Stegostoma tigrinum: one gene and its partner. The protein of the gene in region 1 purifies or fractionates together with the protein of each later gene. This does not show direct contact. Links are inferred from orthologs where the notes say so. Each region holds a gene or a part of one and is shown on either strand. Other genes may lie near its edges.

The links. Proteins that work in one complex are often made in the same cells at the same time.
Region 2: the proteins of irf2bpl (region 1) and vgll4b purify together in Homo sapiens (affinity purification with mass spectrometry; 3 studies listed by BioGRID and IntAct, counting the BioPlex papers as one, with this or other methods). This does not show direct contact. The link is inferred for Stegostoma tigrinum from reciprocal best matches to the Homo sapiens genes IRF2BPL and VGLL4.

What each region holds. Positions count from the first base shown.
Region 1 is NC_081363.1:50,436,343-50,444,015, forward strand, and holds the start of irf2bpl (probable E3 ubiquitin-protein ligase IRF2BPL), read left to right. Parts: upstream 1-4,172; 5' UTR 4,173-5,095; coding exon 5,096-7,078; 3' UTR 7,079-7,673. UniProt on the Homo sapiens protein: Probable E3 ubiquitin protein ligase involved in the proteasome-mediated ubiquitin-dependent degradation of target proteins. Through the degradation of CTNNB1, functions downstream of FOXF2 to negatively regulate the Wnt signaling pathway.
Region 2 is NC_081364.1:24,110,985-24,118,788, forward strand, and holds the start of vgll4b (transcription cofactor vestigial-like protein 4b), read right to left. Parts: upstream 3,229-7,804; 5' UTR 3,220-3,228; coding exon 3,123-3,219; intron 2,843-3,122; coding exon 2,656-2,842; intron 1-2,655. UniProt on the Homo sapiens protein: May act as a specific coactivator for the mammalian TEFs.

The DNA.
Region 1 (7,673 bases):
CCTACATATTATATACCTTTCATTACAGTTTCAGGCATTATTTTTGCATAATCAAATAAAAACATGGTGAGGATGCATTTCATTTCTCAATTTGGGAAATGAAATACCAAAGTCTCCTACTTAGGAAAAAAAATCATTACTTCCACGGTATGTCAGTTCTTTTCTTGAAATCTACAATACTTTAAAGGTCCAGTCAACTTTTGTTTTAATATTTCTGCCTGTACTTGAAAACCCATTTACTTTGCTCAGTGTCAACTTTAAACATTTCCCATGATAGAAATTTCACAAGCCAGATAAAAGAGTAGCACTCCCCTCATTCTACCTCAACCGGGTAAATCAACTTCACTGAAGCAGTATCTATTTTCCCTTGCCCACCAGCAATCCTCGTGGTCTCATGACACTACAAATTCTATATCAATTAGTTATTTGCTGAGCAGTTGCTTTGAGGTCGTTTGATTTAAACATTTGTTTTTCTAGGCAGATTAGAGAATTGTAGAACTGCAGGATGTGATATTGGTAGGAAATGATGAGGACATAAAATTTAAATATGAGAATCAGAAATTTCAATTGGAGGTGATGGGGTACAAGTGTATATCAGCAAAGTCAGGTGTGATAGTTGGACTGAAGCTATAATTAAAATCACAAACATAAAGAAAAATAGAGTGGGTAGGCAAGATAGGATCAAGATAGAAATGTTAAAGAAAGGCAAAGTAAAAAAGAAATCTAAAACAGTAATACAAGTCGAATATACATGTAAAAAAGAAAATTGTGCTACAGAGATGCTTGGCAGTAATGAAGTACAAATTCATCAAAAAATTGCTTCGACTCATACAGCACGTAAAACAAACCCTTCAGTGCAACTCCTCCATTTGACTAGACATCCCAATCTGACCTAGTCCCATTTGCCAGCATTTGACCCATATCCCTTTAAATGTTTTATATTTATATAACCATCCATTTCACTTTTAAATGGTATAATTGTACCCCCCTTCACCACCTCCTCTGGCAGCTCATTTCATACACTCACCACCCTCTGTGTGAAAAAGTTGCTTCCTTTTAAATCTTTCCCCTCTTACCTTTAACCTATGCCCTCTAGATTTTGTGTAATTCGCGAATGTTTAATTGTTAAAGGATATCTGCAGTCTTGTGTGAATTTGTGTTAGTGGCTAATTACCACAGTAACTGCCTGCAAATGTAAACATCTGATGTATCAAGCCCAGATTTCTTTTTGGGATCTGACTTGTCTAGGATCAACATCAGCTTGGATCATAATGGCTGATTATCAGTAGCACTAGCTCCAAGTGGAGATGAACACCTTCATGAAAATCACTTCTAAAAATTGAGAATTAACATGCAAATTGTCTTAAAAACCTAAAGTAAAAGATACTGTAATGCCAGTTTAGTCCAGGCAGAATTTTTAACTTTAATAGAAGTTAATCTATCGTAAATCTACTAAAAAAAACTGTTGGTTCTTTAACTAAAATGGTCGTTTTCACTGGTTAAGTATGATAACTGTTTCACTAAATAAAGATATGCCATGATGAACACAGTAGGGAAATAGTTTCACATTCACAGCTGAGTACCATATCATTTGCCAATTTTGGAATAAATCTATTTTTGGCTACAGATTAAGAAACAGGTTCAGATTATTTAAGTTTACTTTAAATTAGGACCTTGCTCTTTGCATAATGAGGACATATCCATTACCGATTATTAAGAATATGAAAACTGTTGCTCAAGGTAAAACAGTCTCCTAATGTACATTGTGCCTGCACCTTGTGTCCTATTGAAAGTAAAAAGGAAAGTTTTTAAAATTCACCAATCGTTTTTGTATTTACATTAAGGAACAGAAGCAAAATGTTTGTGTTTCATGGTATCCTTACATCAAGCTTTCCAATTTGAGATGAACTATACATGTTTTATTTTGATCTGTGAGTTTAATTATTTACAGCTGTGAAGGGGATTTTCAATCTGTCTGCCAAAATCCTGTTGACTGTATGATTTTTAAAAATCCTATTATAGCTACAAACAACTGTTAAAATTCGTTGGGGTTAACATAGGCGGACATGTGTGCATTTATTTTTCCAGGGCTTGGACATTCCCCTCATTCCCCATAGCAGTTAGTATGATCATCTGTAACACTTGATAGGAAATGAAGACTGATGAATTTCTTTAATCCCTAAATGAAGCATCGATTTTCAGTGCAAATAAACAGTAGAACAGAAGACAGCAATAATTTAGGGCTCTTAAAGGAACATTCTTATTGAATCTCTTGAAAGAAGCGAATGTTATTTTGGAACAGAAAGTATAGCAAAGAAAAAATACTAATAACTATTTTTGGCATTTCCAATGTTTACTAAAATTGGATTGCGCAGTTGTATTTTTCGTGGTCTCGCATATTCCCTTTCGCGTAGTATTCTGTGTTGAACAAGGTGGCATAGCAAGGGCGATACGAAAAAATAACCTAGCGTTATAGCCTTACTAGCATTCAGAGCTTGATCAATCTTGGGGAATTGAGAGTGGGCGTCTCAAAATAATAACTACTTCTAAAAATAAGTCCATGCGATTTAAACGAGGCCTAAGGTATCGTTATTTCAGACAAAATAACAGTGGATGCCCTCTGCCCTCGTGGTGTGAGCGGAGAGGGAGTTAGAATGTTCTTAAGTAAATTTACATTAACTATCTCACACTAAAAGCTCAGATGGAACAATGACTTCAATGTCATAATTCTGTTTTATTTTTTCAATTCTGCGTCGTGACTTGCAGTGCGTTTTTTTAAAATCGGTGGGCACGATACCATGCGTCGATAAAATGCTTAATAGTCTGTTGAGCCAAGATCCTTTGAAATGCATTTTCCATTTTTTCTTGATGTTGTTTCATGGTCGGGAACAGAGGAATAAACCGTTCACCTCATTATTTTTAAAGGGGTTAATAAATTATATAAAGCTGTAAGGTAGTCGCACGTTTTGAAGCTTTTTTTGAAATAAAAACTGTTTAACAATCCTTTTCAAGTTCCGAATTCCAGTTGTACTACTAAGATGCTTAAATACTGCAGTTTTGATATTTAAACACATTTCCGTTTTGTCAGCTTCTGGTGACACTTGCTTACATTAAAAAAAACTCTTGTGAAGTTGTGTTTACCCTGATTAAAACATTGAGTTCCCCCCAGGAATGGGATCTGAGTGTGCCACGGATCATTTCTTTTTATACAAGGTGGGGGAAGGGTGTAGTGTGAGATTTAAGTTCGACTTTAGAATGCAAGACAAAATTATTTTTCCTTTCGGAATTATTTTAAATGAATAAGTTAAATGAACTTATAGTTCAGTAACTGATATGTGTTGGGCAAATGTGGATCCGTTTCAGTGTTCACGGAAATGCATTACGTTAAAGGACAATTTAGATATGTTTTAAAATATTTTTTCCAATTGACTTTTTTTTCTGCTCTCTTTTAGATTACCTACAACCATTACAAGTTCGAGTTAAATTAAACAGTAACCAAGTAGTTATTTATTTTATAGTGCTGACGTAGCTTTCGAAGTTGATGGCCCACATCCATGTTAATAATTAAACCGTACTGTACTGGAAAAACAAGCAGCAACTCCCTCACCTCGGGGCTCGCACCATTGGGTAACTACTTTCATGAAAAGTAAATAGAAGCGTTCATTGGGAGGGAGCTTTTCGTTTTCGATTGAAGTTTACACGCACAAAATTGCACAACAGGAAACTAGCATTAGGCTGGTTATATGTGGGTGGAAGTTGCATAATTTGCTAGATATTTAGCTGGTGTTCTAACCTATGAAATTATTTTATACTTTTCTGACGTTATGATGACTCGATTTTACAATTTTCCCATCATGCTTCAAATTGCTAAGATTGTCGTATTAAAAACGGACCCTTTGCATTAGTATAGCGTCAGCCTTAAAAGTACATGCACTTGGTATTGAGCAGATTCCTACCAATAAAATGGGAGCCTACAAAACAATCGAGCTGCTTCAGTCCAGAATTAGCAGCAGAGAATGAAATGTCTGCTCATTGAGTGACTCGGTGCAAAACGCTAGGGAGTTGCGACATTCTGAAGGGAACTGAACTAGAACAAGCCCTGACGTCATGGGGCGGGACTAGAGCTGCAGCTGGGGGGGGCGGGGGAAAACCTAGACTGATTTAATATACTGTATAAAGTGCATACTTAAATAAGTAATTACTTTCTATTGTCAAGTGTTGAACTTTTAAGACGGTTAAAGGAATTCCTGTTATCATAATTTGTTTCTCGATCTGTTCGACTGGGTGAAGTACTCAAAAGCTAATTGTTTAGTCAAGTAAATGTTATTTAATTTCTATTCAGCTGTAACTGGTGTGTTGGAATTTTGTAGTTTAAATTTAGAACTTTACATTTATATACCAGCTGTACTGGTAACTAATTTTGCTTTTGAGCATAACTTCCGTGGTTAATATTTCGAATTATCACGGACCTATCCTAATAGACATTCCCGCAGTGTATTCTGGTAACTGAATTGTTACAATGGACAGTTAAAACATTTTTTGGGCCAGGAACCAGTTTCTATTCCGTTACAACCGTAATCTGTCTGAAATTGCTAGGTGTTTTGGAGTAAATCATGTGCACGATGATCCGGCTACTCTCAGGGACAGGGGCTGAGAGACTGGACTGTACATTCCTCAGAAATGCTTTTGGTGTGTTTGCTGGATAGAGTCAAATCCGCAGTGTTTGGTTCTGTACAGTAGTATACGAAGAACCAAACTGCTTTAGTGACTACGTATGCATATAAAGTTTTTTTTTAAGGAATAAAGTATAGTTTTGAAACTTTGATAAAGGGTAGTCAGCCGAGACAAGCCACATGCTTTAGACGGTGGGGGTGGGGAGTGAGGCTGCGCTTGCGTATTGGCTGCAGAGCGGCGGCTGACGTCACGTGGTGCTCGGAGAAGCTGAGTGGCGGGGCCGGGAGGAGAGGAGAAAGCAGACAGAAGAGCAGGAGAAAGGCAAAGAAAGCGAGGGAGCCTAGGCCTGGCCATAATACCGTACGAAAGGGCCACCGCGGAGAGACCCAGAAAACAATCAAATCTGAACATCTTCCGCATCATGTCCGCTGCACAGGTGTCTTCGTCCCGGAGACAGTCGTGTTATCTCTGCGATCTGCCTCGCATGCCGTGGGCCATGATCTGGGATTTTACTGAGCCCGTCTGTCGCGGCTGCGTCAACTACGAAGGGGCCGATCGCATCGAGTTTGTCATCGAGACGGCGCGCCAACTGAAGCGGGCTCACGGTTTCCAGGAGGGCCGCTCGCCAGGGCCGCCTCCTGTCAAAGTGCAGTCCTTGGGTGGCAGCAAAGAGGCGGCTCAACAGCTCAACCACGTCGACGGCTCGTCCAAAGGGCCCCAGCCGCCTGTCGATCGCTATTCTTTGAGCGAGAGACCCCGATTCGAGTACCCGAGCCTCGCCCATGCTGGCAGGCTTCCCAATGGCCTGAGTGGACCCAACGGATTCCCCAAACCTGAGGACATTCCGCCGGAACTCAACCGCCAGAGTCCCAATTCATCACGAAGAAATCATAACATCGTGCCCCCGGGCCCCGTCACAGTGCCGCCCAACTTGCTGCCGCAGACCACTTTAAACGGTCCGTCCGCAGGAGCTCTGGGTCCACACGGGCTGCTAAGCAGGCCGTCTCCTTCCAGCAGCTTGGCCGGGACATCGGTGACGGTCAGTAGTCAAGTCCTGAGTGATGTGAACAAACGGCCAGGCTCAGTGTCCAGCAGTGACCAAGAGAGGGAACTCAAAGAGAAACAGAGAAATGCCGAGACTCTGGCTGAGCTGGGCGAGAGCTTGAGAAACCGCTCTGAGGACTGGGTCAACAAGCCCAAGATCGTGCGGGAGACGCTGCTCACCCTATCCAACTGCAATCCCTTCGATGTGCGCTTTAAGAAGGATCACTCTCTTTTGGGCCGGGTATTCGCCTTCGACGCCGTCTCCAAGCCCGGCATGGACTTCGAGCTGAAGATCTTTATTGAGTACCCGAGCGGTTCGGCCAATGTCTTCTCCAGCGCCTCGGGAGTTGCCAAGCAGATGTACCAGGACTGCATGAAGGATTTCAGCAGAGGCCTATCGTCCGGTTTCAAGTACTTAGAGTATGAGAAGAAACATGGCTCGGGAGACTGGCGCTTGCTGGGTGACCTGCTGCCTGAGTCGGTGCGTTTCTTTAAGGAGGTGGTGGGGGCCGATATGCTGCCGCAGCCCCATATAGACGCCAATTGCCCCATTTTACCCACCGCCCTGTGTAATATACCCCGGCCCCCGCCCAACAGCTCGAGAACTGGGATGCGCAAACGCAAAGCGTCTCCTGAACCCGATTCGGAAACAGGCAGTGTAAAGCTGGAAGAGCGGCAGCAGCAGTGGCTGTCCAACCAAAATGAAGCCTTAAAGCTTACTATGGCGGCATCAGGCAGTTTTGGCTCAAGTGGTGTGGCTCATGGGGGTTCCGCTCTGCCACCCAACCGGACCACCCCTCCCGAATGCAGCGCCCAAAATGGACAGTCGCCCATGGCTGCCCTCATGTCCGTGGCCGACACCCTTGGAAATGCCCACTCTCCAAAGGACAGCAGCAATTCGGTACATTCAACCACGAGTACCAGCACTCGGAGGAATAGCAACAGCCCCGTGTCCCCTGCCTCGGGTGGTGGCCAGCGCCGCATGGTGTCCAGGAACGGGGATGCTGCACTGTCCGTTGCACCACCTAACAACCATCCCAACCCCAGCATTGACCCCGTTCATCCCCCAAACATTCCAGACTCACCAATGGCCAACAACGGGCCCCTGTGCTGCACCATTTGTCATGAACGTTTGGAGGATACTCACTTTGTGCAATGCCCATCAGTGCCCAATCATAAATTCTGTTTCCCATGTTCTCGGGAAAGCATTAAGGCGCAGGGGGCAAATGGAGAAGTTTATTGCCCCAGTGGAGAAAAATGCCCTTTAGTAGGTTCGAATGTCCCTTGGGCATTCATGCAAGGAGAGATTGCTACAATCTTAGCTGGGGACGTTAAGGTCAAAAAAGAAAGAGACCCATAATTTCTTAACTTCAGTAATTGAAGTAAAATGTGAATAAGAACTAAAAGAAAGTTAGTCTTATGTATAGACATTTTTCATTTCCATCGTATGTTTCTATATTTTGAAACAAGGTATGTACTCTTCTTCATTTGAAGGATGAACCTGGTTTTGTTTAAAGAATATCAGATATTATTGCTTAATACTGTTTTCACTTATGGCAGTGTGTTGGCTAGGTACAGAGCATAGCACTTAGCAATTAACGCTGCTGGTGTGTTTTTGTAAATGTATGCACTTCGCTGAATTGCCAAGGCCAGTGTTGACGTCTGCAGAAATGCAAACAAATTGTTACAAGAATGGTTACAGTTAGCTATGTTACGAGCCCTGGAGGTAATCTCCTACAAAGTGACTTTTTTTAAAAAAAGGTGAGGGGTTCTTTTTATTAGTTTCCAAGGGCAAAATATTTCATTTTATGATTCAGTGACCTGAATTTTTTATAATGTGTTCTTTTGCTTTATGGATGCACGAATGCTTTAAATAGTAGAGCAAAATGCTGTACTGTATATGACAAAACTGCTCTGTTTGTTCTTTATACATTTCTGTAGTAACAGAAGACTGT
Region 2 (7,804 bases), on another chromosome or scaffold:
TTTCAGTTGTTGTACTTCCAAAAAAAAATCTACTATTGCTTCACTATTCATCGTGATTTGGCAAAAACATTTTGCTTAGTGAATGTTGTTGTTCAGGAAAAAAACATCTGCCTTAAAGTGATAATTCTAAACTTGTGCTACTATCATATCACTCATACCGAAGGAATATTGGTGCTTTTACAATCTGCTTTATGAAGTAAAATCTGAACATGGAGAAAGCAGCAAGTAAATAGCAAATTTATTTTTCCAAGTGCAGTTCATTTTATTCTAAGTCTTCACTTCTTATGCCTCAGAGGTGGGGCTCATACTGGACATAGGTGGCAGAGGCAGGAGGCCGCAACTGGTTAAACCGTATGTGACGTAGTAATTGATAGGGCCATCACATCACAGCTGATATCCACAAACATGAACAAGAGTGGGAACAGAAGTTGATTTTTCCCTTATTTAGCTCCTAAGTACAGGCACCGATTGAGTGCTACCAAAATGAGATTGACAAATTCAACATGGATCATGGATGCAAATGAAATTATTTCTAATTTGAATGGTGTAGTGCAATAACGCCGTTTGCAGCATTTATTACCACAGGGCCACTGCTGCTGTAAGTCCATTCAACCAACACAAGAACAAAGGGTTTTATTAACACTTTAACCAAATGACATTGTCTACGATCACAGAAGAACATGATTGGCCCAGCATATGCCCCTGGTCTACCCCAGGGTAGAAAGGCTCACATCTAACCAAATGCTAGGAGATAACGGAGACAGTGGCAAATTGCCGTTAATTGCCGGGTTCATGCAGATAAAGCCAGGACGAGCAACAACTGGCGTTGGGAAACCGTGTGGAGATCAGATCGAATATAATAAAAAAAAATAAAAATTAGCACTTGAGGACTAAAACTGAATGCATTCTTTCCTCTGCAGAGTGTACAAAACCATGTGTGGAAAATTCCATTCGCAGGCTTGCAGAATGCTACATTCTGACAGAGCTCAAGAAAAGCAACACCAGTTTTCTCCACTTTGTTGAGACAAGTTCTCAGATTCTAATAATTGGTACCTCGCATACGGTTAAATAGTGGAAACTGTCTAGTAAAATACAGTTATTGCTCACCCCTGTTCTACCGAGAAGTAGCAGACCAACTCCTGAAAATGCTCGTGTCTTAGGGTGAGGAGAGGCAGTAAGAGAGTTGGAGAGGGTGTGGGAGGAAGAATACGTGCGGTGGTGGGGAAAAGGGCGAGAGAGAGAGAGAGAGAGAGAGAGAGAGAGAGAGAGAGAGAGAGAGAGGGCAAGGGCGAGAGAGGGAAAGGGAGGGAGAGAGAGAAAGAAAGGGAGAGAGAGAGAGCACGAGAGAGAGAAAGGGAGGGGGAGAGCGAGAGAAAGAGAGCGAGAGAAAGAGAGAGAGAGAAAGAGAGAGAGAGAAAGAGAGAGAGAGAGAGAAAGAGAGAGAGAGAGAGAAAGAGAGAGAGAGAGAGAAAGAGAGAGAGAGAGAAAGAGAGAGAGAGAAAGAGACAGAGAGAAAGAGACAGAGAGAAAGAGACAGAGAGAAAGAGACAGAGAGACAGAGAGAGAGAGACAGAGAGAGAGACAGAGAGAGAGAGAGACAGAGAGAGAGAGACAGAGAGAGAGAGACAGAGAGAGAGAGACAGAGAGAGAGAGACAGAGAGAGAGAGAAACAAACGCGCAGGAATGGTGTTTCTATGGCATTTCTGTTCATCAAGTAGCAAGTGAAGGGTTGGGGTGACCTGTCAAAGTCAGCTAGATGAATTGCCAGAGCACTTCTGAGCTGCAGCAGAACGTACTGAAGCTAGAAAAGGTGAATAGCGTGCAGTGACAGAGCAAGGGCAGAGGTTGTTTGACATTAAAGTGTGTCATACAGCATATGTTACGGATCACAATACTGCAGATTAATAAAACAGGGAGGAGAATACTCTGTTATACAAAACATAAAGAAAGGGAATCCAGCATCCATGAAGCAATGTCATATGACAGGTCCGGGGAGACAAGAATTAGGCTTTACAACAGGGGTATAGTGCAATCTGTGACAGAGTGAGAAAGGATTCAGAGCGCCTAAAGCCACATTGCCAAGTGAAATAAAGAACGTGGTAGACATCAACATTATCGCATAAAATGAAAGAAAAGGTGGTGTGTACAAAAATAATTGCGACGGTCTGAAGAAAAATAAGCCACAGTACAATGGTGGATATAGTGATTTCAGAGGATAACATACTCCATATCCTTATAGTCATCTCTTCAAATACAAGTTAAGAATTGTCATTCACTTCTGTTTTTATACTGGAAGACTAAGAAAAAAAGGGACACACATTCTGGACAGATTTACAGTCTGAATACACTGAGCTCTTTCTGACTTAAGCATGATGGACACCAGTATGTGTACAGACAGTACCTGGGCAAGTCCACTATTAAGCTATGAGATTTCTTTTAACCTCCGTACTGTTTTTCAAATTTTTGTTCAGTAACATAAGAACCACCTAATATAAGTGCACACATATACTAGAGCTCAGGGAGACTAATAGTTGCCAAATCTGTTCTTCATTCAGGTTGCTCCACCTGCTTCAACCAGTTCCATTTTTTTAAATTAGCATAACACAGGAATCCAGTTTGCAGCATGGGGAATGCTTCTAGTCAAGAAATACTTACACTTGAACGTATAATCTGCTTGTTTTAGAGGCATGTTCACTCTCACTTTCCATATCATCTCCTCCCTGGTCCCCACTGAATTTCCTCTTGTTGGGGCTGATGGGTGGAGGTCCTGTGCGGTGGTTGGTGAGTGCAGAGGACACTGGGATTGACTGCATCCTACCGTCACTCCGGAGTGCAGCTTCGCCTACGGATCAAATGTTTAAAAAGTTAAACGCCTTGAACACTGTCCTTTCTACAGCAAGTTGCAAGTACAACCTAGCTCCGCAAAGAGTTAAATATGCTTGCGTATTAAAGACTTCAAAAATGTACACGACATGTCAATGAACATTTCACTAGTTTCACACTAAAAATGTACCACAAATGGATGCAAACACTAGAATTTGCATAAAATTTGCTGATTGCTTTACTGCAATGAGAAATATAACTCAGTATTGCTGTGGGAAATGTTGTTTTTCTTTCCGCACCGTAAGGGCTGTGGCAGAGGAAAAAGCAGCTTGCCAAACTAAACTTTATGAGATTATTGGACACTGTTAATGCTCGACAGTATATATACATAGGCATAAAACTGAACTCCAAACAGACGCTCACACCCTGCCTACATGGGAAAAATAAGTGCATATACCCAAGTCTGCCACAAGGCCCACACCTCTTCCTCAAAGTACAAAAAAAACAGAAAAAAAGAGACGAGCTGAACATTCAAGAGATTTATTGTTGATAGTTTTCCCCATTGCATTCAGTGAAGGGAAACCACAGTGCTGTTCACCAAACAAATGTCCTATTTTACTGGCTGGGTTGTCTCCTCCAGTCTAACCACACTCCATGGCAACCAAGATGACATCATAACTTTGGCAAGGAATACTCTGATAAATCTAGACTTTTCTGAAAAAAAGTTCAGCAGCAGTTTGAATACATTTAATTTAGTTTTTGTCTCTCGAACCAGATACTACACATTCCACATGCAGGATATTCATGTGACTTTTTACAAGTCATAGCCTCATTATCAGACAGCATTTTGATGCATTTCCAATTTTTCCTTCCTGACTGCTTATTCATTTGAGGCAGCAAAATTCAATTACATCTATTCCCTTGCCCAGCTGAACAGCTATGTATAGAATTTCCACCCCTCCTCCCCATGGAATTTTAACCTAATGTTTGCCAAGTTACTTTTGCTCCCCAGGAAGGATCCAACAGATGTGAAAAAGCTACAAAAATAAAAATGTGCCAGACAGAGAATTAAATGAACATGAAATAGGACTTACTGAAACTGTGTGTAACATCTCTCAATTCATTCTGATTAGAATAACAGAGGTTTATTCACATGAAATTAGATGTTCATGAGAATTATGATTAGTCCCAAAAAAAGGAAGTAAAAATTGATCAAGGCCCAAAAGGAGGATAAAATCTAGGCAATGGAATTTACAAAATGAGAATAAATTGCTTTTGCCTTAGTAATATTCAATAAATCAGGAGAGGTATCCAAAATGTAGTCTTCTTGAGCATCACTGCACCTGGAAGGGTGGCTACCAGTTTCTCCATTAACAGTCAAACATTAGAAATCTAAAATGTTTTGACTCTCAATTTATCCAACTAACAAAACAAATCAACATAACAAAGACCCTCTGATGAAGGGTCTAGGCCCGAAACGTCAGCTTTTGTGCTCCTGAGATGCTGCTGGGCCTGCTGTGTTCATCCAGCTCCACACTTTGTTATCTTGGATTCTCCAGCATCTGCAGTTCCCATTATCTCTGAAAGCAACATCAACTTTTTTTTAAAATCAATCACTCTAGCCTACATGATTAAAACAAAATAAAGAAGCACAATCCAGACTTCAACAACACACTTGCCACACGTGGTACTGGGGCTACCGGTCAACATCACTGGATCAGAAGATCGACAGTTGTGCTTGCAAATAAAAACATGCAGCATTAAGTTGATTTGATACTAGATCCACTGTGACCATTCAAAGCAAGATGCACATCTCCAAACGCAAAGGATTTTTTAAAAGCCCTCCACAACAGTTTTGTGCCCATTAAGCTTTTTTCTATTACCACATTATTTTGTGCATTATATTAATTCATAACATTTTTATCCAAATTCCACTGTTAATAAAAGGCTGCAGTTTGCACATCCCTATTTGCAGCTAATATTTCTCCTTTGTTCAGCCAGGAAAACAAAAAAAAATGGCTGGGTAGGTGGGGCACAGAAGGAACTGTCAGTGCTCTCACTCAGTTGCACGTGATTTAATCCGGGTCAATCACAATTACTGGAATGGAAAATGTAGCTGCAAAGTGTACCAGATGTCCGAGAGTAGTATGTCCAAGGATCTGACCAGAAGAAATGTATGCACAAGACTGATACATAGCATAAATGTAAATCTGTACCCCATATTAACTGAAGATATGCACAGGGCTTACAGAAAAACTTGGCTCAGGCCTAAATGTACCTGCAACTGCAAAATTTTATATCCTGACCCATTCTCCCATGTGGAAACCACTCACCAATCATTGTGCCTGTTACAAAGTGGATCTCTGAATGGTATTCCTTTTAAAATAGAAAACCAATTAAAAAGGAATAACGATTAAAATGATCATTTAACTAGTGGAGTTAAAACAGACAAATTTATTTGACAAAGTATACATTTGGGCGGCACGGTGGCTCAGTGGTTAGCAAGGCACCAGGGACCCGGGTTCGATTCCAGCCTGAGGCGGCTGTCTGTGTGGAGTTGCACATTCTCCCAGTGTCTGCGTGGATTTCCCATGCTAAATTGCCCGTAGTATTCAGGGGTGTGTGGGTTATAGGGGGATCGATCTGGGTGGGATATATGAAGGGGCAGTGTGGACTTGTTGGGCCAAAGGGCCTGTTTTCACGCTGTAGGGAATCTAATCTAATCTAAATTAGAAGTCCAAGCTCAGTTAGAATTGTTGTATATTCAAAAGCAAATACAAGATGCCTTTGTTGAAGGGCTGAATTTGTTCATAAAACCAAACTAAAAATAGAAATCTTCAAAAATAATGGGAAATTCATTTCAACTGAGAATTATTCATACACAAATAATGTAAACATCATTAACATTTTGGATTCTCTCTCACATACACCAGTTAGATTTGCTTTCATTATGGCCATTCTAGCGCTGCTTACTGGTCAATCTTAGGTTGACCATCTGGCTACTTCAATCTACTTGCCTCAATTATGGAAACAAGGCTGCTGAACTTAAGTTTAATCACATTCCCAATCAGTTGTTTGATGAGAAAGCACACTTCAATTTTGTATCCAGGTTTAGATGCCAAACAACAGTGTTGTATCTGCAGGCCAAGCAGCAGAGGAGCAGGAAGGCTGATGTTTCGGGCCTAGACCTTTCTTCCTTTTTTTGAAGAAGGGTCTAGGCCCGAAACATCAGCCTTCCTGCTCCTCTGAGGCTGCTTGGCCTGCTGTGTTCATTCAACTCTACACCTTGTTATCTCAGATTCTCCAGCATCTGCAGTTCCTGCTATCTCCGAGTGTAATATCTGCATATGAGAAATTGTTCTCATGCAAAACAGATGGAAATTCCACAGACTTATGCATGAGCAATTTTTCTGTCTTAATTTTAGCTGTACTTTAACAAAGCCGACTGTTGTTTCCACTATTCGTCTTTTCATTTCTACCTTGCCTCCATTTAAATCTGTTCCAGTTTTTTTGGAACTGAAAGAGTATTCAGATCACTGACGATAGCACTGAAAATGACCTCTCCTTTTATCCCTTTGCAGAGAGATGAAGCAGTGAACATAAAGATGTCAAGCCAGTTTGCACAAAGCTGCAGATCAGGTTTTACAAGGCTGGATCACTCTGGTTTAAGTGGACTTTGCTTCCCGCCAAAATAGTGTGCAGGAGAAAGAAAGGAAAGAAGTAATGCTCTAAGTATTACCAGACCTGATATGGCTTATACAAAAATGATGTTTTTTGTAACATAACTAAATATTAAAAACCACTAAGTTTAAAAAACTCCTGCCTTTATATTAGGTGTTGTTCACAACCCCTCAGGACAATCTAACATTCTTTATATCTCATGAAGTAGTTTTGAAGTGTAGTCACTGTTACAAAGTGGAAACTATGGGGAGTCAATTTGTGCAAAAGGTTCCATTGACCATAAAATTAAATAGATCATATAACCTATTTTAGGTGATGGTAAATATTGGTCAGATAGTCAGACGACACTGATTTTATCTGTATACTTTACACATCAACCCTATAGACATTAATATAACTTGGGAAATGTCTAATTTTCAGTCAGATTGATGAGACGAACAAGTGACCTGGACTGATATCAGAGATAATGGGAACTGCAGATGCTGGAGAATCTGAGATAGGCCCGAAATGTCAGCTTTTGTGCTCCTAAGATGCTGCTTGGCCTGCTGTGTTCATCCAGCTTCACACTTTGTTATCTCTTGACCTGGATTGATACTTCAGATTCAAACCCAAAGCTCCAATTCAGAACTGACATTTGAAAATAACTGCCATCAACACAAACCAAAAGGCGGCTCCTGGTCCATCAGAAGAAAGGAAACTGCTCAATTCTTACAATGTGAAACTCAACTGTCAACTCAGTTTGAGATAACAAGGTGTAGAGCTGGATGAACACAGCAGGCCAAGTAGCATCAGAGGAGCAGGAAAGCTGATGTTTCGGGCCTGGACCAGTCTTCAGAAAACTCAGTTTGATCTTTTCCCAAAATAAAGTGTCCTTGAATTTTCTCAGCAAAAATCCAAACTAATACCATATGACCAGGTAGAACAGTTAAATGTTGATCAAGTATTTGGGAGCCCGTTTAGTAACTGTGAACAACTTTTCAATAGAAGTTGGAAGTGATAATGGGCTATATATCATGCTATTTGCATCTCAAAAGAATGTCACATTTTCTGACTATAGCATTTCAGAACGTGTGTGAGAAAAAAGGCAATTTTGATCTCCAAGAGAAAATTGTTTACTGAATTATATTATGTACCAGGCTTCCAGTCACAGATGTTTCTCCATATTTTTGGCTATCCTTCATCTTAAAAGGGAGTCTTTCTCACGCCTTTCCAGCAACTCTGAAATACTCAGTACATTTTCAGTTGCCAACTGCTTTTCACCTGTCATGAAAGGATTTTGAAATAGGTTTCTGAACAACTA